2 linked regions of the Tribolium castaneum genome follow. The protein of the gene in region 1 interacts with the protein of each later gene in a pairwise test. Links are inferred from orthologs where the notes say so. Each region holds a gene or a part of one and is shown on either strand. Other genes may lie near its edges.

Evidence for each region.
Region 2: the proteins of zinc finger TRAF-type-containing protein 1 homolog (region 1) and Ubc4 interact in a two-hybrid assay, tested with the Drosophila melanogaster proteins (2 studies listed by BioGRID). The link is inferred for Tribolium castaneum from reciprocal best matches to the Drosophila melanogaster genes CG32486 and Ubc4.

What each region holds. Positions count from the first base shown.
Region 1 is NC_087396.1:18,936,633-18,947,590, forward strand, and holds zinc finger TRAF-type-containing protein 1 homolog, read left to right. Parts: upstream 1-4,450; 5' UTR 4,451-4,802; coding exon 4,803-5,006; intron 5,007-6,752; coding exon 6,753-6,991; intron 6,992-7,233; coding exon 7,234-7,445; intron 7,446-7,497; coding exon 7,498-7,658; intron 7,659-9,322; coding exon 9,323-9,525; intron 9,526-9,573; coding exon 9,574-9,601; 3' UTR 9,602-10,044; downstream 10,045-10,958. Other genes in the region: adenylate cyclase type 10, read right to left, coding at 41-298, 345-357; WD repeat-containing protein 89, read right to left, coding at 10,079-10,159, 10,208-10,399, 10,452-10,724, 10,783-10,958.
Region 2 is NC_087394.1:31,291,819-31,302,525, reverse strand, and holds Ubc4 (ubiquitin-conjugating enzyme E2-22 kDa), read left to right. Parts: upstream 1-5,612; 5' UTR 5,613-5,968; coding exon 5,969-6,031; intron 6,032-6,092; coding exon of another isoform or gene 6,093-6,114; exon of another isoform or gene 6,115-6,246; intron 6,247-6,275; coding exon 6,276-6,428; intron 6,429-6,477; coding exon 6,478-6,560; intron 6,561-6,606; coding exon 6,607-6,770; intron 6,771-6,818; coding exon 6,819-6,955; 3' UTR 6,956-7,411; downstream 7,412-10,707. Other genes in the region: metallophosphoesterase domain-containing protein 1, read left to right, coding at 1-208, 254-518, 571-797, 1,228-1,355; Prps (ribose-phosphate pyrophosphokinase 1), read right to left, coding at 1,726-1,818, 1,874-2,431, 2,988-3,053, 5,066-5,249, 5,324-5,528, 6,093-6,114; E3 ubiquitin-protein ligase RFWD3, read left to right, coding at 9,088-9,115, 9,170-10,707. UniProt on the Drosophila melanogaster protein: Catalyzes the covalent attachment of ubiquitin to other proteins.

The sequences.
Region 1 (10,958 bases):
TGGTGTAAAGGCTGGCAGTGTAAGCTGTTTGAACGTCTACCCGAAACGTCCCCGAAGAGGAAACAGGCGTCGTATTGCCGATGGCTGTAGTCGTCCACGTTATAGATGACCTCATCGGGGACCAAAGACGCCATGACTTTGGTCTGTCGATCATCGATTGAAAGATCCATTACACTCTTGGACTTTTTGCTCATCATTTGGCTGTGAGATCGCCGCTCCTTCCACAATTCTGAGTCCGATTCTCTGTATGCACTTGTTCTCATGGCCCAGATGTACTCCTCCTGCCCCACCTGATTCACTGTTTTTTCCTTTATGGATGGTCACATTGTCATCATTTAACTTACTCCCTTCCATCATTTTTGAGGATTTTTCGATAAAACCGTTTATATAAGAAAAATGTAAAAATTGCCAAAAATGGCAATGACAGATGTCCTACTGGTCAAAAACAGTCAAAAAGGCAAGGAAATTTTGACATAAAAACGACCACTCCAGGACTTGAATAAAATAAAAAATCTGTAGGAAAATTGTGTTGCCTTGTTTAAGTTTAGCACCTTCGCATAATAGATAATAATATGTAAATAGCCGTTGTTGGTTATTGCACGTTTTTCTTAAAAAAATATTATGTGAAAAACCACTTGTGGCTACACAGACAGAGAATTCGTCTTGCACCAAGAATTGTGTTCTTTTTACACACTCAATTTTATTTAAATCCAAACGTTTTTTCATTAAAAAATTATAAGAAAACCTCAGTCGAAGATTCCAACTGAACACGTTATCCTACTTAAATCCCTAACATTTTTACAAACACAATTACATACATTTTACAGCCAGAGATAGGGTTTATGGGGGATTTACCTACGTAAAAGTACATTTTTACTATAGAAACTAATAACCATACAGAAACGAGAGTATATGTATACATATGATTTTTTTAGAGTTCTTCTACAATTCTTAATACTTAAAATTAATAAATATGTTGCTGATTTTTTTCTGAGTTTTGTTCTGGGCAATAATGTAAAAAATTGTCTCAAGTTTAAGTTTATTTGTTGTATAACTTAAAAATTATGAAAAATTTTACACAAAAATCTTTATCTATTTCCTGCACTATTTTTGCTTAAGTCTTTCTATGCTCATTATTGTAAAAAATATTTGCAAAATAATAGCTTTAGAACATAAAAGAAGAACTACAAGATAAAGCTTTTCAGATATTTTTTGTTTTATGTAATATTTATTTTATTATTATTACCCGAAAGATTAAAGAGTGTTCTATTAAAAACAGTAAGCAATTAAAAAAAATCAATTCCTACCATGGAATTTTTTATAAAATATGCAGCATTTATTTTATAAAAAACTTCCTCGAAGATTTTCTCAAAAATTACAAAAATATGATTTTTGTGGGTTGGTTTTCTCGGAATTCTCGGAAGCAGAAAAAGTCAAATGCCTCGAAAATGTAATTTTTGTTTTATTACTACTATTAAAATCATTTTGCTTATTATTCTAGGGGAGGTTTCAACTCCCAACCCTCAACTCGCTGTGCCACTGTTTTACACCAAAAATCTAATGAAAATTGAGAGATTTTCTATGAACTGAATACGCCTATAATTTGTGGAGGTAGATGTTGAGTATTTTAAATACTATCAAGCATACAAAATACAACCATTACTCCCAGTTTTTTATGCCATTAGCAATAAATTTTACAAAAATACGGTTAAAGTACGGTTAAAATTTAATTAGATCCAGAAATATATTATTATCATAACTTTTACCTAATTTTCTGATCTCTGAAAAGTAATAAGTAGAAAATAGCTATTTTTGATAAAATGCTACTATTTTCTGCATTATTTTTAATGAGTAAAAAGATGAAGAAACAGGCGCGAGTATTCTGTTATCCCAAATCTTTGGATTTCATTGAGTTGCTTGATAAAAAACGTAAACCTACAAACACAAATAAAAACAGCGCATATTGGATTTACTCGTAATTTTGAAAATACTTATCTACAACGTGTTTCACATAACTTTACAAGGTCTGCTCCTAATGTACGCACCCAAATATACAAAAGTCTCTAAACACTAGATACAAAAACACCATTAAATAATTATTTAATTTTTGAAAACCCATGACAGTGGTTGTCAGACAAATAAAATGACTGTTTCATTAATACTCATAAATTGCAGTTATTCACAAACAATTAACATGTGTTCTGTCAAGAGACGACATGAATATGAGTCTATTTATCTTAATCACTAACTAAAAATGTTGTAATTTACTGAAGGAGTGAATAAATTAGAGAAGGCTATCCAATTTTTTAACATTTGTAATCGAGTTCTTATCGGAATATGTATTGTCGGTGGCATTTTATATGCGCAGGCCTCGTAAAATTATGTGAAACACCCTGTACTCTGTATTGTTTTCTACTAAAATAAATGTACCTTAATTTTTTATTTTTTATAAATGCGTGTTAATTTTTGCAACAAAAAAGCAACATAAAAAATTGATTTGCGATATATTTTCTATCTAAACTGAATACCTGAGAAACAAAAAGAAAAATCTAGCGTACCAGTGTTCTTAAATTTTATTTGTATATTAACCCTGAATTAATTTTTGTTACTGAAACAGAAGTAAACACCGTCTTTATCTTCTTCATTTTAAATAAGGTAGGTGTAATGGTTTTTTAAACATCACAAAAATTTTGGAAATAGAGTTTAAAATGTGAAAATTCCGTTTCGTTTATTCTTATAAATAGCATCCAATTTTTTAAGAGATATCCTTTCCACATTTTTGGATAACTCTGACTCGATGTTTTACCAACAACATGAAAATAGTACTTAATTGCATTTTTTATTTATTTAGTTATTGTATTTTTTTATTATTTCGCCTCAAAAACATTTTTATAATATGTACGAGTAGTTAGTATCTTTTGGAATGTAGACAGTTTTAAACCCAGAAACCATTGTGTTGTGGCCTAATTGTGTACTTACCGTGTTATTTTCGTCTATTATGAAGAGAATTTGGCAAAGCATCAAACAAATGTTCATTTCTGTGAAACATCTGCCGGTTAAGCCTTGTGGTCAAACATTCATTAATCTCAATACCAAATGGAGGAAAGTAACAAAACTAAAACTGCTATTACCTACCTACCTTATAATCAATAAAACAGTTTGATCTTCCACTTTTTTAAATATAAAAAAATAATCTCGGTACCCCAAGAAATAAATGTAAAGAAAAAAAAGATAAAAATGTAACATCATTCTTCCTTTATTATTTTTATTATTATTTATTATTTTTAATAATTTCAGTAAAAATTACTTTATAAAAAATGTTTCTGTATTCTGTACTATCTGGAAATGGTAATTTCAAATTACCACTTCCTTCAGATACAGTAGAATTCGGTTATAACGAACCCGCTTATTTTAACAAATTTCCGGATATAAGTACTCTGCCAAAGTCGCATTTTACCTAATAATTCTTTTTTGAATAAGGTTGGTAAAAATGTAGAACAGTTATTATTAATGATATATATTAATGATTTTTGAGTAATGACGTAACTTTTTTGTGAAAATCGACATTTTCTATTGCTTAGGTACTGTTTTTGATGGTGCACTCCTTTATTTTTTTTTGGTAATAAAGAAAAAAATTAAAAAAAAATTTTTACCTACACAAAAAATACTAAAATGTGAAAAGTCTTATTTTGTTGTTCTTTCCTTAACTAGGTATATTTTAAGCCGATTGGCAAAAAAAAATAAAAAACAATCACCACCTATAAAATAAGGCAGGAAAGGAAGATAAAGCTTTTCAAATGTAAACAGAGCAACATATTTAATAGCAAACGCTCATTTCTCATTTCCGTGTGGTTATTACTCGTTGTTAGTTTTTAAACCCTCCATAAACTCTATCTCTGGCTGCGCCACTGGATATAACGAACTTACAATATTTTGATATATTTTTCGTTATAAACGTACACCGCTCTATTCGACAAATTTTAACCTGTTTTCAACAAAAAACCTGTGTGTTATTCATAAAGAATAAGGTAGTTTTCACATTTATAATTCAAATTTGTAGGTTTTAAGATGGGTAAACCACATAATAAAGAGAGGTCTTTTCATTCTTTTGTATATCCCAAAACTTGACAGACTCTGTCTGCACATGGTGTTACATAAAAAAATTAGTGCTTTAATTAATCAAAGCAACAGACTGAAGTAAATATTTATTTTTTCGCCGGTCCAAAAACGTATTCTTACACAAATTCCCAACATAGAAATTGCGACTTATTTTATTGTGACAAAGGTTTCTCTGTATTCAAACAAGAAATCGGGTCATACATATTTATTAATCATTACGCATACATTAGAAAAATTTGCACAGACTTCCTGGTCCAAGTCGTTATCAGCATCAAAATAGATTTTTGTCCAATAAACCTAAATTATTCCGTCAACATAATAACCCGAGATAAACATAATCAGCTTTAATCTCCGCCGACCATTAAGTAAAACGTAAACACCATGCGTATTACCATAAACAACCCAACGCAAGGTTTCTAATGTTTTGGTCGGCTCTAGACCATCAGCTGATTCACCTGAGCCCACCATTCTTTGTTGTCCAAACCAGCAGCTGACTGTCATCCCCTCCACACCGCGTACGTCACACCCCAGCCGGCCAATCAGACCCCGAGCTGGGGCATTCCGTGGTGGGGAGGGCATGTCAAACTGAGGCGTCACGTCAGCTGTTTTCTGGTTATGTGCGAGGTGTAGAGGTAGACAGGAAGTCAGCTGTTGTGTGTTTAACTTGGAACGCATTCACCACAATGTCGGAAGCTGAGGCGACGACGTCCACCACGGACTCCACGGAGCCGGAGAAGATCACTGAAGACCTGCTCGAGCCGGAGGCGAAACGTCGCAAAACCGCCGCCATACAGCAGGACGAAAAGAAGTACAGGCTCGAGGAGAGGCTGGGAGGAATTCTCTGCTGCGCAGTTTGCCTAGACCTGCCCAAAGCCGCCGTTTACCAGGTAAGTGCCTTTGCCTCCTGCAGATTTCCCTAGATTACGTAACACTACGTCTTTGTCCCGTTCCGCTGCGCTCCTGTATTGATTTTCAGGACACTGCGGCTATATTTAAACGCGTTCAAGGGCCGAGGCTCGGGGTCTCCGCTCGACCTCCATTATGCTTTATCGTGGTTTTGCGCACAATTTTTACCAATTATTGTGTGCCAAACCATGGGTTTATCTCATCTACTCTTTTTGTTTTACCACATTTGTCTGCGTCATCCTCAGTTTGTAATTAAATACTATTGTACTTTTTTCATTGTTACAATGTAGAATAGTCATTTTTTGTAACTGTGATACTTAAATAATAAGACTCTGGATGTGATAATTGATAACTACTTTAACGAGTTCTTCTATTTTATAACAACGATGATTTTTGGTTCGACGTTGCAAATAAATGTATTATTAAATTTATATTTTAGTCATTATTCATATTTAGATATAGTATTTATTTTCCCCATCCTGTCCCATTTCTTTGTTGGTTTCGAAAAGAGCACAAGATTTTTATTTAACCACGAAATAAGAGAGGTAGGTAGCGACGACCAAGGCTGGGTTACTAGTAATTTTTACAAGTCACGAAATGGCACCACTTTCGATTAACATTTAACCCTAAGTTAATACTCTTTGGAAAACACATTTTCCATACGATTTAACTTGAAAAGTTAAAGTTAACCATAAGCGGTCACGCCACTTAAAAAGTTCAATCAATGCTATTTGAACAATGGTAGAGAAGGTAACGTAATGGTAAAATAAAGTAGCACCACCAGGGGCGGATCCAGAATTTTCATCAGGGGGTGAAATGTGAGCCTGGATAATCCACCATAAAACGTAAATTTTTTTGAATGAAAGAATTACTGCCCTTTCAGAAATCTGAAATATTTTCCTCACAATGCAATAAGTTTAAATTTTTAGAGGTTCAGTTATTAAAATCGTAACTGGTCCAATTTGTTCTACAAAACGTTTCTCAATTATTAATTATTGCCAAGAAATAAATTTGTAGATTTTAGGTCCAAGTCGTTATCAGCATAATAGATTTGTCCAACAAACCTAAATTATTCCGCCAACATAATAACCCTTGATAAACATAATCAGCTTTAATTTCCACCGACCATTAAACATTTTTGATTTTATGCAGAATAAGTAATAAAAAAAAATATTTACCTATTGTGTTTGTTTGCTTTCAATTGCTAATTTGCAAAATTTATTTACAAATAAGTTAAGTACAATATTTTTTACAACGAATAACTCAAAAGAAAATTTGGTAACTTGGTTTTTTACTGATGTGACTAAATTTACAAAATTGAATTATATATTTAAGTGATTTCAACTAGTTTCGAAAAGGCTGCCGTGAGATTATAAGAAACAAGTAGAAGTGTTGTTAAATGAAACCAAAGTGTAGTTGGTGAAGCGTATTGGGGGTTTTGGATCCGGCCCTGGCGCACCGCCGCTCTCACTCAATGTGGTCAGTTGGCAGAGGGTAAAAATTTGAGTTAGAGCGGTGGCGAGTATATTCGTTGAGTACATACAGCCTTATTGATAAAATTTATGTTAGTTCCAGGATATGAAGAGGATTGGTAAGTGTCTCCAAAGCTTAATTAATGTCTGTGGGGTGGGAACAAAACATTTCGAACAATTTCACACAAAAAACTTTTTTTGAAGGATGAGACGTTTCGAAGCCATTACAGTATATTTTATGTGCGTGTATTGCAGTGCAGCAATGGTCACTTGATGTGTGCCGGATGTTTCACGCACATCCTCGCCGATGCCCGTTTGCGTGACGAAACGTCAACATGTCCCACTTGCCGCGTGGAAATCTGCAAGACATTGGCGACGAGAAATTTGGCTGTTGAAAACGCCGTCTCGGAACTACCCTCCGAATGTCAGTTCTGCAACAAGCAGTTTCCGAGGAATTCCTTGGAAAAGCACGAAGACGAGGAATGCGAGGACAGGTTTATTTCTAACACAACTTTTAGTGCAGGCGCTAGACGCTTTCAAGTGCGCAAAATATAACAACCGGCAACTGTATCCCAAAACAAATAAAACGATAGAAAAAATATAGACACAAGATACAAATGAATGAATTCTGTGTTTATATCAGTTATTGACACGATGCGGTTGTCATACGTTGCACGCTCATTTCTTCTAGCGTCTCGTCTCATTCGGGGACGATAACGAGTGTTTTTCTGTGCAGAATTTCAGGTTGCAAGTACCACAGGATCGGGTGTCCGTGGAGAGGACCAGTGCATGAAAGGGCGCAACATGAAAAAGAATGCGGACATCCGCATAAGTCTGGGGCGGAAGTTATGGAGGCTTTGGAAATACTCGATCAGCAGCTGATTGAAGAAAGAAAACTATACAAGACGATATTTGAGTTGTTGGGTTACGATAAAATTACTTTTAACGGTACAATTCAAAAACTGATGTCCATTGTTGTATTGATGGATTTTTATTGCAGATATTCAGTTGAAGCCGTATCGTACCGACGATTTTGTCCATCGATTATTTTATGAATCATCGCGATTTTCGGCCTTCAATAATCAGTGGGTAGTCAAAGCTAAAATTAGTGATAATCAGAAGGACCCCACACAAAGCTCAGAACGAGATATGACTTATCAGGTACTGAAAATTTATTATTATGAGTATCATTTTATTTGTTTTGGCGCGATTTAATCAGAAAGTCTTGATTAAGATAAAATATGTATGTAAATAATAATATATTTCCACCAGATCTAATTTGAAACAGTCGTAATTTAACAAAAAAATTATCTTTCTACAGCTTTAAAATAATTCATTTTTTTATCATTCACCACTAAAGACTGGATTTTAGGACCTTTACATATGATAACAAAAGACAGTGAAAGTATAAAATAGGACTTTATAATAGGAAAATAAGTCTTAAGGTCCTATATCAAATACTTGATAAAAACAAACAAAAAAATATTAAAACATTTGTTCGCATTATTAAAGCTTCTAAATCCAAAATAAAAAATATATATTTTTTACAACCCCTCCGATAAGTGCTAGTATATTAATAAAATTTGGTAATACAAAGAAACTGTTAGGATTGCTTTAGCAGCAATTATTATGTAAGTATGCATTTATTATTTTTGTTTAAATATGCATTTCATTGATATTTATCTCCCTTTTTCCTATTAACTACTACTTTTGAGGTTTAGTTTTTCAGAGACCCAAAAAGTCATAGATATTGGTCGAAATCGGAATACGTCTTCATAGCTAGACCCAAGAGTCAGAAACTGATTACCTCTTTAAAAGATTTAAAAAAACTTTTTGTGTTTAAAAAATTGAAAAAGATGACAAAATCATGATTTTAAAATAAATAGAATCCAAAAGGCATGTTTTCCCAAGTCTAGTCTTTATTCATTACAGATATCCTAGAAGAATTTTAAAAATGATTTATTTGGAAAAAAACAAAATTTTGACCTTTTTACTCGCGTGTTTAATCTTTTTTTGCATAAAATAGGTGTATTAGATGTTCCAAAGCTATAAAAACGCCAACGTCGCATTTTCTCTTAAAATTAGCTATTATAAATAATTAGTGCACTTTAAAAAAGTAATACCTAATATAATTTACACTTTTCATCAGAGATCTAATCATTAATAACTATTTTACAATTATTTAAATCTTCTTTTAAAAAAAATAATTTGGTAAAATGCGACGTTACTTAACGTGCTTTGTTGTCTGTCTGCCTGTTTCATATTTTCCGAGCCAAATTTTTAGAAGGTTTTTGTTCGAATGAATTGAAATTTCGCATACTTACGTAATCTTCGTGACAATGCAATTCTACTATAGTTAATTACCCCCTAAAGATGGGGTTTTAAAGTTTTAGATTAAAAAGGGTTAAGCTAAAAAGCACACTGCTAACTCACTTGGAGAAATATATTAATATTTAATCATGTTCATTACGTTTTGTTATAAAGAAATGTCGCTAATTTTTTTATCTTTGATGACAAACAGAACAGAAGTTAGGACATGCTGTCAAATGCTAACATTTGTTTTCTACCACATACCACAACAAATTCACAAATTAGCAAAGTAATGGTGTTACAACGTAGTGAAACTGCAACTAAAGACAAACACAATTAGAATAAGTAAAAACTTAAAAGCAAATAAATAATATTTAAAAAAATGTTTTTTAAAAGACATTTTATCTTTTTTTTTTACAAAATGTGTTCTAACTCTTGTGTCTGATTTTATGTCTACTTCATGTTTAACCTCGAATTCTCGAAGTTTACTTATTTTATTTTGTTTTTTTTTTTAGTTAATCCTGAAATCAAAAACATCTACCCCCTTGAGTTTGAGTTACATCGTCTTACGAGGTCCTGTCGGAGATGTGAAGATAAATCCTCGAGTCTACAATTTCGATTTCACAGAACAAGAAACCGAAACTCCCTACGAACACTTTCCCCTACCAGACACAGCTGAATGTAATCGTTTACTAGCAGCAAAAACAATTAATTTCAGGTACTGTATTGCGTCGTAAAAATTCATGTTTCTATTGCTAATTTTCAGGTTAATCATGTTTTTGGCCTCAAAATAAGTTATTTTCGCATCGTCGCACCCAAAATTCTAGTTCGTATTTACTTATTCTGACCCTCATTTTCTTTTTTTTTTTTTGGCTGAATATACTGGAATGTCTATTTAAAAGAAGTTTGTATTTTGATTAAGTTAGCTGAAGATCTCTATAGAGTTTAGGAGTTTTTATATTTAGATCTTTATTTTATACATTTTATATATTTTTGGATTGTGAGATGTTTTTCGTTTTACAATAACATTTGTTTTGTTACCAACATTTGTGTGTTGCCATTATTTTTAGTTTAATTTTTTTTTGGAAACGTTTTAATAACATTGTGTCATTTTATTTAACTAATGGCTTTTGTCACTGTCATTCTCAGCATTATAAAGGTAGCATAGAATAAATTAATTTATATATTCTTAATTGTAAGAAAAGGGATATTGGTAGAAATTAAATGTTCAAAAATGCTCAACTTACTTTTATTCTTTTCGTTCAGAAAAATCACCCTCTTTCACACTTTACAGTGGTGACATCCCACACATTTAGAATTCCCTTTTCTCCACCAGTCAACAACAAATTTATCTAAAATCCAAAATCAAAACGGAACAAAACCACTGTCAAAAAACTTACATTCAAATTGGACCAGCTGGAACGAACTCGCTGCTTATTTGCGGGGAATCCCAGAGCTGGTTTTACAGCATTGCCAACTACCGTTAATCCTCTAAAACATTCTCCGTCGCAGTAATTAGATCCCGCCAATACCAACATACTATTAGCACCACCATGTACGTCCACAATGTACACATGTTCTTCCGATTTCCTCTAAAAATGTTTGTTATTTGCATTTTAAATTATTTCAATCACAATTATTTACTTTAATTTCTTTAGCAATTTCAGTTCTGTGTAAATGAAAATAGGGCTGGGAGTCTTCTACTTTCCAAAATTGTACGTCAGCTGTGTGAGTTACACAGCTTATGATATCGTTTCTTCCTTGTTGAAACCAGGCCAGTTTTTCAATTGATGATTCAGTATTTAACGAATCAATCAACGCATCCTCCTCATTGTTTTCGGAGAGATCGTACAAATTTATCAAACCATCTACTGACCCCGATATCAATTTGTTCGAATCATCTGAGTGAAATTTGAGCTAAATAATAATGTAATTAATTATAAAAAATTAAAACATGAAACGAAAAGTGAAGTACCTGCGTGATATCGTCAGTATGTGATTCCCAATAGCCCCCCAAAAGCGAATTTTTCCTAACATCCCAGAACAAAATGAAAGAATCGCCTTCAAACAAATTCGTGCCTGCCGCTAGCAATTTATTATTTGGCGAAATATCGAAACAATTAAATGATTTAATTGTTCCATCTTCAACAG
Region 2 (10,707 bases), on another chromosome or scaffold:
AAGAACCAAAAAATTATCAAGCTCAATGTCAAGTCTCCCTCAAAACCTGTGGAACCAAATAAAGTACGATTCGTTTGTATGAGCGACACCCACTCCCTTATAAGAAACCTGGTGTTCGACGTACCCGACGGCGATGTGTTCATCCACGCTGGGGATTTTACGAAATGTGGCCAGAAAGAGGAAGTGATGCAGTTTAATAAATGGCTAGGTGGGTTGTGCTGGAAAATTTATCATTCTATTTGCCTACTTCCAGTATCTTTGCCCCACAAACACAAGATTGTAATCAGCGGCAATCACGAATTGAGTTTCGATAAAAAATTCTCTGATTATTTCAAAAAAACGGCGAGTGCAAGACACACCGGATCACTCGAAGATGAAGTCCCCAATTATGGCAATACGAAAGATAACATCAGTGATGCAGTCAATACTGATAACATCAGGCAGTATTTAACAAATTGCACGTATTTGGAAGATTCGGGGATTGATATTTATGGCATAAAACTGTACGGAACTCCTTGGTAATTTCACGGAATTTACGTAAAACAATAAAATTTGTGTAAATTATTACAGGCAACCTGAATTCGGTGGCTGGGCTTTTAATTTAGAGAGGGGTGAAGAGTGTCTTTCCAAGTGGAATTTGATTCCAAACGATACGGACGTTTTAATAACTCATACGCCGCCTCTGGGGTTTGGCGATTTGGTCTGTTCGGGGGTTAGAGCTGGATGCGTAGAGTTGTTAACGACGGTCCAACAAAGGGTCAAACCCAAATATCACGTTTTCGGACACATACATGAAGGCAAGTTAGTTTACACTCAATCTGTATTTCAACCAATTTGAACATTTATCTAAATTCCAACCTACTTGAAAGTTCAATGTTTGTTTATTGTTCTGCTGTAGAGGTGGATTAAGCGCCTGGCTAATTTCCAAAACTCGATAAGTTTAAGTTAGAAACAACTACAACAGAGAACGTGAATGATAATTGTAGTAGACTTCTAAATTTTGCCGTTCGTCAAAAACTAAAGTGTTAGAATATCCTCCCAGAAAATTGTTATTCCATAACAGTCGTAGGAAGTGTTTCGACGTTTCGATTTTTTAATAAAACTTTGTCAAGGTTTTTTTCTTACAAAATTTCATTAATTAATAAATCAAACCATCGGTAAAAATTCTCTTCAGTTAGGTGCCACCTAGAGAAGAAACTCATTTTACCGCTCCTTTTATTTCGCCAGGTTATGGAGTGTTCTCGGACGGAAAAATCATCTATATCAACGCTTCAACATGTGATATTAACTATATTCCAAAAAACCTACCTATAGTTTTTGATGTTCCTTTACCAGAAGGCCAGTCGAAACACTAGGTTAGTATCAATCGAAAACGCTTTTATAATCTATTTATTGTGTATATTTAAGTTCTTTTATACAAAATAATTTGCAAAAAAATGTATAGAGAAAGCTCGTGTCTTTTATTTCTTGTACAAAAATAAGCCATAATTATATACACTACAAGACCATTTCGAAATAATAAAAAAATATTTTATTGCAAGAACCTAATTGTAATTAGCGTAAATATTATGGCATGCACCTGTAAAGGTCTAAATTATAATTTAAAAAAATATGAATTTGTATCTCATCATCAATTAGTTATAAAGAAATAAAACGAACATCTTCTACATCTGAGGATTTGCAGTACAACCTAACACTTTTATTATTTAAAATAATAAAAATGGGTTAATAAGGAACATTCGAGAATAGGTACGATACTGATTCGCCATTGTGCGTCCTCCTCACCGCCTCAGCGAACATCATGGACACATCAATGCACTAAAAAACCAAACAATCATCAAACTTGTGATTTGTGCCAAATCGCACAACTCACCTGGATTTTCGAACAATCCTTCATATGCCCGTCTTGTGGAATCGTATTAGTGACAACCACAGCCTCAAAGCACGCGTTATTAATCCTAGTTATGGCAGGTCCGGAGAAAATCCCATGCGTCAAAATCGCGTAGACTTTCGTAGCCCCAGCTTCGGTCAACTTCTCGGCTGCGTGGCAGATCGTGCCGCAAGTGTCGGCCATATCGTCGACCAGAATAGCAACCCTGTCTTTCACGTCTCCGACGAGCACCATCGAGGCCACCTCGTTGGCCTTCTTCCTCTCCTTGTGGATGAGGGCGAACTCGACGTTGAGTCTGTCGGCGATGGAGGTGACCCTCTTGGCGCCCCCGGCGTCCGGCGACACTATTATACTGTTCCGCCACTCGACAATGTTCTCCTTGATCCATTTCAACACCGCCGGTTCGGCGTACAAATTATCCACCGGGATGTCGAAGAAGCCCTGGATTTGCGACGCGTGCAAGTCCATGGTGATGATGTGATCGGCCCCCGCCACCGAGAGCATGTTCGCGACCAGTTTGGCCGAAATTGGGGCCCGACTCTGTTGAGCAAAGGTTCAAATTGGCATGCATTGGGCCGAGGGCGAGGGACCTAACATGTTAAAAGCTAAACAAAATTCCCAAGCCACTATCTAGCTAAATTTTCAATTAGTAAAATGACATGTCGGGTTAGTTAATAAGTCTTCGGTATTATTATTATTATCGCATGGTTTCAAGATCATTACATCATTTTTCGGATGATAATTTTTACCCAACAATAAACAGATAAACAAAAGTTGACTTCTGACTCCTGAATGTTTGTTACACGATAATAATGACTATTTCGTCAATGTAAAATTGTTTCACAACAGTACGTTTCCCCTTCGTTTTGTAATCCTGGCATGCAGTTCCGGGAATCATATACAGCGTGTCGCAATTACGCGCCCATTTATGATTTTTTTATTATTATTTGTTAATTGCGACGTATGAACGCTGTGTTTTGTATCAGTGTTATTAACAACGTACAAAGCTAGTCTAACTCTGGCGTAAAAACATGATTTTCAGACGACACTTTCCCAATAAGCCCCTGCAACATTCACAAAATTTAACAATTTTTACCCTGAATTTCCATTCGATTGACTTCCATTTTTCCACGTTGCGTTCGACGTCATTTTTATTCGCAGGCTAAAATAATCTCGTATCAGGTAAGTGTGTATGTGAATGTACGAAGGTGTAAATCTACTTTATTCTAATCGAATGATTTCAGTTAAAATTAAATTTTATTTATGGGAACTACGTTGCATAAGAGAAAAAATTGGAAATTTGTCAACAGAAACATTGAGAATACGAAAAACAGGTGCAATTATAAATAAAAATACACTTTACATAAGTTTCTTTCAACTTTTTAGAAAAAACTTCAATCTCTGTCACGTTAGAAAAAGTCAAGAATCATAATAATTAGAGTTTAATTATTATCACGATAGTGTAAGTAGTTCAACATTATTACATTACTTGATCTACTCTTGAAATATAAAACTATTTAAAGCAATGCATTTTGCTAAACATTCCACTATTATCAGTTTATAAACACACATGAACCCGAACTTATTGACGTATTTCCGACCATTTCAACTATTTTTAAGTTATGCTAATTAGTAATAGATATACAGAATCTTAATTAATTAAGAGAACTGTGGCTAGTTCCTCGCTTAGACGTCATTGAAAGCAAAAGTGGTTTTGCTACACAGATAAGGAACCAATAAAATATTTTTGTTCAAATTACTCAATAAATTGTAATAAACAAATATTTGAGGGGGAAAACAATTAGGGCAGGCCAGTTGGGACCTGCACTAAGAACACCCCGAATTAAAATGATAATATTTTAATGTTACTTAAAATTGCACTTGAAAACTGCCACAAGCAAAGAATTCCATTTACCTGGAACTCTTATTATTTCAAAAAATTACTGAAAGAGATAAAGATATTAAAAAAATCGTGATCAAGTGTATTGTAAATTTTTTTGTAAACGTATGATTTCTCTAAATTCGTTTGCTTAGTCCTGTGACAATTCAAGATAAAGGCGGTTGGGTAGAGCAGTAGAATGATGCACATGAAAAATAGTTTGTTAAAGAAAAATTTGGTCTTTTGAAGGAAAAGTAACACGTAATGTAATTTAGACACGTTTTGAAATCATTATTTCAGTAATTAAAAAAAATTTAATAATTTTTCTCGAAATCTGCTCTTCAACTGTAGACTCCCCACTAGTTTTTTTTATCTTGTTATTATAATACATAGTACCAATCAATCATTTGAATTTATAATTAGAGTAAGTTTTTATGGCTTCTTTTCTTGTATGGCAAGGCTGATTATTATAATTAATAAAACTGAAGAGTCAGTTAATCAAATTTCGAACGGTAATATTTAATTAGACCACGTTTTTGCCTCTAGATTACCAACTACATAAGAAAAAAACGCATACATTCAAATGAGTACATGTTGACAAAAAATCTATTGGCATTATTGAGCTATTGGTCATTCTTCTAATTTGTTTCAGGTGATGGCTAGGCATGGAAGTGTATATTATTTGTATAAAATTTTGAATTTGATATTTAAATACTGGCAAACCTTAATCACACAATCACTTAGTATTTATTATGATAAGAAATAGACTTATTTTTCCACTTTTGTGTCAAGAAAAACATCAATAAAATCTAAAAGTACACAATAATTGTAGTAATAAAAAGTAACAAATTAAAGACTGTCTTTGTTAAATGGATATAGCAAAATCACTTTTAATAGTGCAGTTACATTTATTATGCCTTTGCTAATATTCTAGTAAAAAGCCTTTATGACTATTTAACACATCATAAATCATATATTTCTTAAGCAAAGCAAACATGTTTGAAATACTTAAGTCGCGGCAGTGGCGCCCTCTCAACCACGTGCTCCTTTTGCCGACCTAACGGTAAACAAATTGTTTCAAATTAATAAACTACGTGGTCGGATTGAACTTGTCCAATTATTAAACCAGATGCTTGACTAATTTGTCAGGTCAATAGGAAAAACCACAACCCTAATTGTCCTAAAAACCAAAACTACGGTCTCCACAAACCCGCTTGCAGATGTATACAAAGTCACGTGGCGTCTAGGTTATCTACACATGTGCAGGTACACAATTGGAGCAATTGTGCACTCACCTTGTCCTTCTTGTCTTGCCGAGCGTACGGGAAGCATGGAATGACTGCAGTGACTCTGCTCGCGGACGCAATTTTGCACGCATTTATCATGATGAGGAGTTCCATCAGGTTGTCGTTAACTTCCCCGCTGCCCGACTGCACGATGTACACGTCTTCCCCACGGACGGACTCCCCAATTTCCACGCTAAAATAAAATAATAATAATAAGTCGCAATTTAAGCCAAGTCAATAAGCAAATAATTTCCAAAGCCCACTCACCATGTTTCCAAGTTGCTGAATTTCTTCGTAACCACTTTGCCCAAGTCGATCCCCAGCCGGTCCACGATCCTCTGGGCCAGGTCGGGGTGCGAGGTCCCGCTGAAGACTTTAATGTTCGGCATTCTGCTCTGGAGGATCAACGAAGACTTTTCCAACTTTGCCCGCAACAAGCTTTTAGCACGTACGGGCTGGGAAACGGGCATAACTGCAAAACGCGCAGCCAATCAGAAGCGGGGTCTAATGTTATCGGCAAACAACGCTCCAGAATGATAAACCTTGTGACGAAATACTCCCTGCTTATCGAAGATTTCCGTCGAAAATATCGCCGAAATTGTCAACAGAAATCGCGCGGGGGGGCCCTTACGTCATCGTTGCAGCAGTCCGAGGGAAAATCCCCGAATATTTGCGAGATTTCGGCCGATTTGGCGCGCGCGTAAATTCCGTAAAGTTGGCTATAATGCTATTGAAAACAAGTGACATTTCTTCATTTAGCATTTCATAATTTGCCTAACTTCAGTGAGAAATTAAAAGTGTGAAAATCGATCTTTAGCCAGTGTATTTTTTACTTTTGTCAACAAATCGCTATTTTTTAGAGCCACGGTTTATCTGTTATGTTTTACTGCATTTAGGAACTTCCCCACCAGAATGGCTAACATAGCAGCACAAAGGATACGACGAGAGTTTAAAGAGGTTATTAAAAGTGAAGAGGTAGGAACTTCGCAAACACTGTTTTTCTGTTATGTCATTCTAACTCCTAAACGCCACTTACCGTTCTCGGTTTCCTCGGACATTTCGAATTTTCACACTTGAAATTGTCAGTACACAACGTAAAATATTGATTACTGAAAAATGCCCCCTGCCATAAATTCAAAGCGAAGGGGTTATCACTCCAACGTCATTTCGTAACAATCAACAAACTTGGCTAATACGATCGTGCTTGTTTGAAATTTAGGTAGCAAAATGTGCCATCAAAGTGGAACTCTTAAATGATAGTTATACAGAGCTCAAAGGCGAGATCACGGGCCCCCCGGACACGGCCTACGAAGGGGGCACCTTCGTATTAGAGATTAAAGTACCTGAAACATACCCCTTCAATCCACCCAAGGTACGTTTCAACATAACCAGGAAAAAAAAGACTAAGAGTTTTGTAACAGGTCAGGTTCATTACGAAGATATGGCACCCGAATATATCATCAGTAACGGGCGCTATCTGCTTAGACATTTTAAAGGACCAATGGTGCTTTCTATTACGTGGTAGTATTTGTTATTAAATGAAATTCTAGGGCTGCAGCTATGACGCTGAGGACGGTGTTGTTGTCGCTCCAAGCGCTGCTCTCAGCTGCGGAGCCCGATGACCCACAGGACGCCGTGGTGGCGAAGCAGTTTAAGGAAAATATAGAAATGTTTCAAATGACGGCCAGACATTGGACAAATGTTTACGCAGGCGGTAATTTATGCAGTTTGCAATTAGGACGGCGTGACGCTCTGTTTGCAGGTCCCCATGTAAATAAAGAATGTGACGATAAAATAAAAAGGCTAGTTGATATGGGAGTGGAGGAGCACCAGGCGCGGGTCGCTTTGTCGTCGTATAACTGGGATATAGAAAGAGCAACTGAACAGTTATTTAGTTAGTGAACTATTTTAATCCGCCATTTTACTATATTCTCTCTACACTTTTCCAACAGTTGGTTATGAAACGCAGTTTCATTTTCTACCCAATAGATTACTGACTTAAATTATTTTGAAGGTGTACAAGATGAATAAAAGGATTGTTTGCATTTACCTTATGTCTCAGTAATCACTATACGAAAGTCTTGTTTTGGCTCTTGCGAACTAATTTCAACTTTTGTCAATATTGGTGTTTGAAATTTATTGATGTTACTGATGCTTATCGTTAGTTCTTTCGAGTACAAAGTCTTTCAATTAATTACGGTTTATTCTTGCTAGTGAAAACCACCAGATTAGTTTTTTAGCACTTCAAGTATGGTAATTGAATGAAATGCTTTGTATAACCACTTTCCAATTAGTTACTGTTTTTATTTGTAAATCGGCGATTGAATACTGTTAAAATAAAATTTTAATCTTGAATATACAGGCACTGAGGTGAGTTACAACCCTAAGACAATCCACGTCCATTTGAAACTCAAATACTCCATGAAAATAAAAGTTGCGCATTAACTCTTAATTTATGCACTGATTATGCAACAGATTTACATAAGTAGCACCACGAAAGGTCGAGACTCCTTCGGTACTATTTCAAAATAGATTTAAATTCAATTACAATCACCTATTATTAGTCCAGTCATTGAATAATTTCAATGGTCCAGTCAAATAAGCCTGTAAATCGAAATGTTCAAAAGCTCGCTTTTTTTATATAAGTTACATGGAGCAGTTAAAAACGTTTAGACAAAGAATTTTTTAGTTGAAGAAACGAAATTAAAGCGTTTTTTACAGATTATTCAAAATCGCTGAAAGCTAGAAAAAAAAGTTTTAAACAAAAATTGTAAAGCCGAAAATTTTGCATAAAAATGTTCACTTGACTGTTTTTGATATTAATATTAACAGAAAGTTAGGGCGGTTAAAATAATATACATATACTGTAAAATCTTGTCATAACACTTGAAAAAAAGGTTGTTTTTTGTTAGTATTTTGGCATCGCTGCGAACATCTTTAGCTTTTTTTGCAAAATTTTTATGAAAACCTATTCAAATTACACCAAAAATTAAGGGTTTCTAGTCTTTTATAAGCAAGAATTCCTAGGAAATCTGGGCTTATTTTCGACCAAAAAAGAAGAAAAATTGGCGGAAAATGTATGGTTTTTCCCGTTATCTTAATTTTTTTATCTAATTAACATGTTTTAGAAATTTTTCGAAAAAACGAAGATTTTCGGTAGTTTTTATTCGAAAAAAAAAATCAGGTAGATACATTCTGTGTTTTTGGTGGCAACTTAAAACATATATAACAGGACATAAGTGTAAAAACCTAAACCCGTCCTGGCTAAATCAGGACGGTTGGTAACCTTAGATTAAAAGTAATTTGTTAATTTATCATTTTTAGAAATATGCTGCGATTTCACCTCGAGCAGATTTTGCGGTAATTTTATATTGTAATAACTGTGAGTGTTCCAGATATTGAAATGATTCTTACATGAAAAACTTATTTAAGTTATTAACTTCATTTCATATCGAAAAATTCATTACACAGGACGTTACAAGAAAATGTAATTTTTAGTTTCTTTTTATCAAAAGTCAACCTTGTGTAAATACGTAAAACTGCATTATTTACGGTGGAATCTTTTACAAAAAAAATAAATTTCTAGCTTTATCCAGAAAGAAGATACGGGATGTAATCGCAAAATTTGTCCAATGTTAGGTTTTTGTAAATTTTTACTAAAAAGTCTTTTTGACCCCTTCTCGGGAGTTGGAACAACCTTTGTGACTCCACAGTAATATAAAAAACGCAAGTTTTTTCCAACTTTTCGATTTAAAGGCTTATTTGACTGCCAGCAGGGAGGAAGTTCATAATCGTGAATTATTTGTATTTTTTATTTTTATCAGTTATCAGATGAGTTATTTTTCACTTAGTGGTTACGAAAAATCCGCAAAAACATTTCCGTGTGGTTATTTTTGCGTAAAAATCTTATGCAAGGACGTGAAGGTCGTTGACGTTGAAACGTCCTTGAGTTTGACGTCGCCATTTGACATTGACAGGATAGTTTTTTGAGGTTAGGTTGTAAATTTATTTGAAAAAAAACCCAAAAAGTAATGAACTTGGATGACTACAACCACGGAGGTAACCATAAACTCGTTATTCCGTGCGAATTATCACACAAGTCAACCGTTTCAGAAAATGAGATGGAAGTTGAAGGCTCTGAGGACTACCCCTTGCAGATAATCTCCCCGCGCGTGGAGGAGATCCACCCCTTAGCATTAGTAGCAATAAACGTAGATAATAACGAGCCCCCCGCCACCTACAACGACGTGGGGTTCCCCCTAGTGCCACAAGCCAACGAAATCGAAAGACTGTCCCCCACCGAGTCAGTGGCGAGCACCCCCCAGACCTTCGACGAGGAGAGCAACCAGTCGCGAAAGCGCACCTTCGAGGACGAGGAGCGCGAGGAGGACGGCTCCGTGTGCCCCATTTGCCTGGACGAGTGGACGAACACGGGCCCCCATCGGATATGCGCCCTCAAGTGCGGGCACCTGTTCGGTGAGCAGTGCATCACCCGGTGGCTGAACCAGAACTCGCGCAAAACGTGCCCGACCTGCAAGGAGAAGGCGCGCCGCCACGACATTCGCTACATTTACGCCAAAAAACTAACAGCAATTGATACAACTGAACTGGACAATATCAAAAAACAGCTGGACTCGGTGACCGAACAGCGCAACAAGTTCCAGACTGAGTTGGCCACGTGCGCCTACCGCGAGCAGTTGCTGAGGCAGGAGATCGCCCAGCTCAAGACGCAACTGAGGCAGAACAATGTTCCTACTTTCAACCAGCCCATGGTGGAGCGCGTCAAGCTGTACATGGACAAGGCGATGGAGATTTGCAAATTCGGCGGAAGCCGGGTTTTTGACGCGCGCTGCGAGCTGGACCTGCTCATGGCTTCGATGAAGTCGCCCACGAATTTGTTCGCCGGGTTCGGCTTGAAAAAAATAAACATTTCGGGGTACAGAACAATCGCGTTCATTCCAGTCCATACGTTGCAAATTAGAGACATTTGTTTCCACAAGGAACAGAACTGGGTGCTTACAGCGTCCATGGACAAGACCTTTAAGGTCATAAACAACCACGAGAATTCGGTTGTCCACCAATTCACCCATCAAATGCCCCTCTGGTCATGCTGTTGGGACGAAAACAACCCATACGAGCTATACGTAGGGACGCAAGCTGGGTCGGTTATAAAATACGACATTCGGCAATTAACCGAGGCCGTTTGTACCTTTTCCATAGAAGGGGACATGTCTCCGGTGGTTTCAGTCGCGTCGATCCCGGCAGCCCCGGGCGAAGCCCTGGCGCAAGGGGGCGTCGTGTCCTGCAAGTTGAACTCGCTCTGGCTGTACGAGAACGCGAATGGGGAGTACAAGAGACACCCGATTTCCTTAGAGGGACCATTCGTTTCAATGAAATACCAAACAAACACAAAGCAATTGTTAGTGTCTTCTAGGCCCAATAGTCGAATTACGTACGCGAGGCATACTTTAAGTACCTTGGCGAGGAATGAGGGGAAAATTGACTGCAATATTCTGCACACGTTTCAAGGGGGCGGCATGCAGAAGTTGCTATCAAAGTCGTGTTTTTTGTCGCATACGAGTGATTACGTTGCTGCCCACCAGGAAAATTGCAAGAGTGTGTTCTTGTGGAGCATCAATACGGGGCAAAAG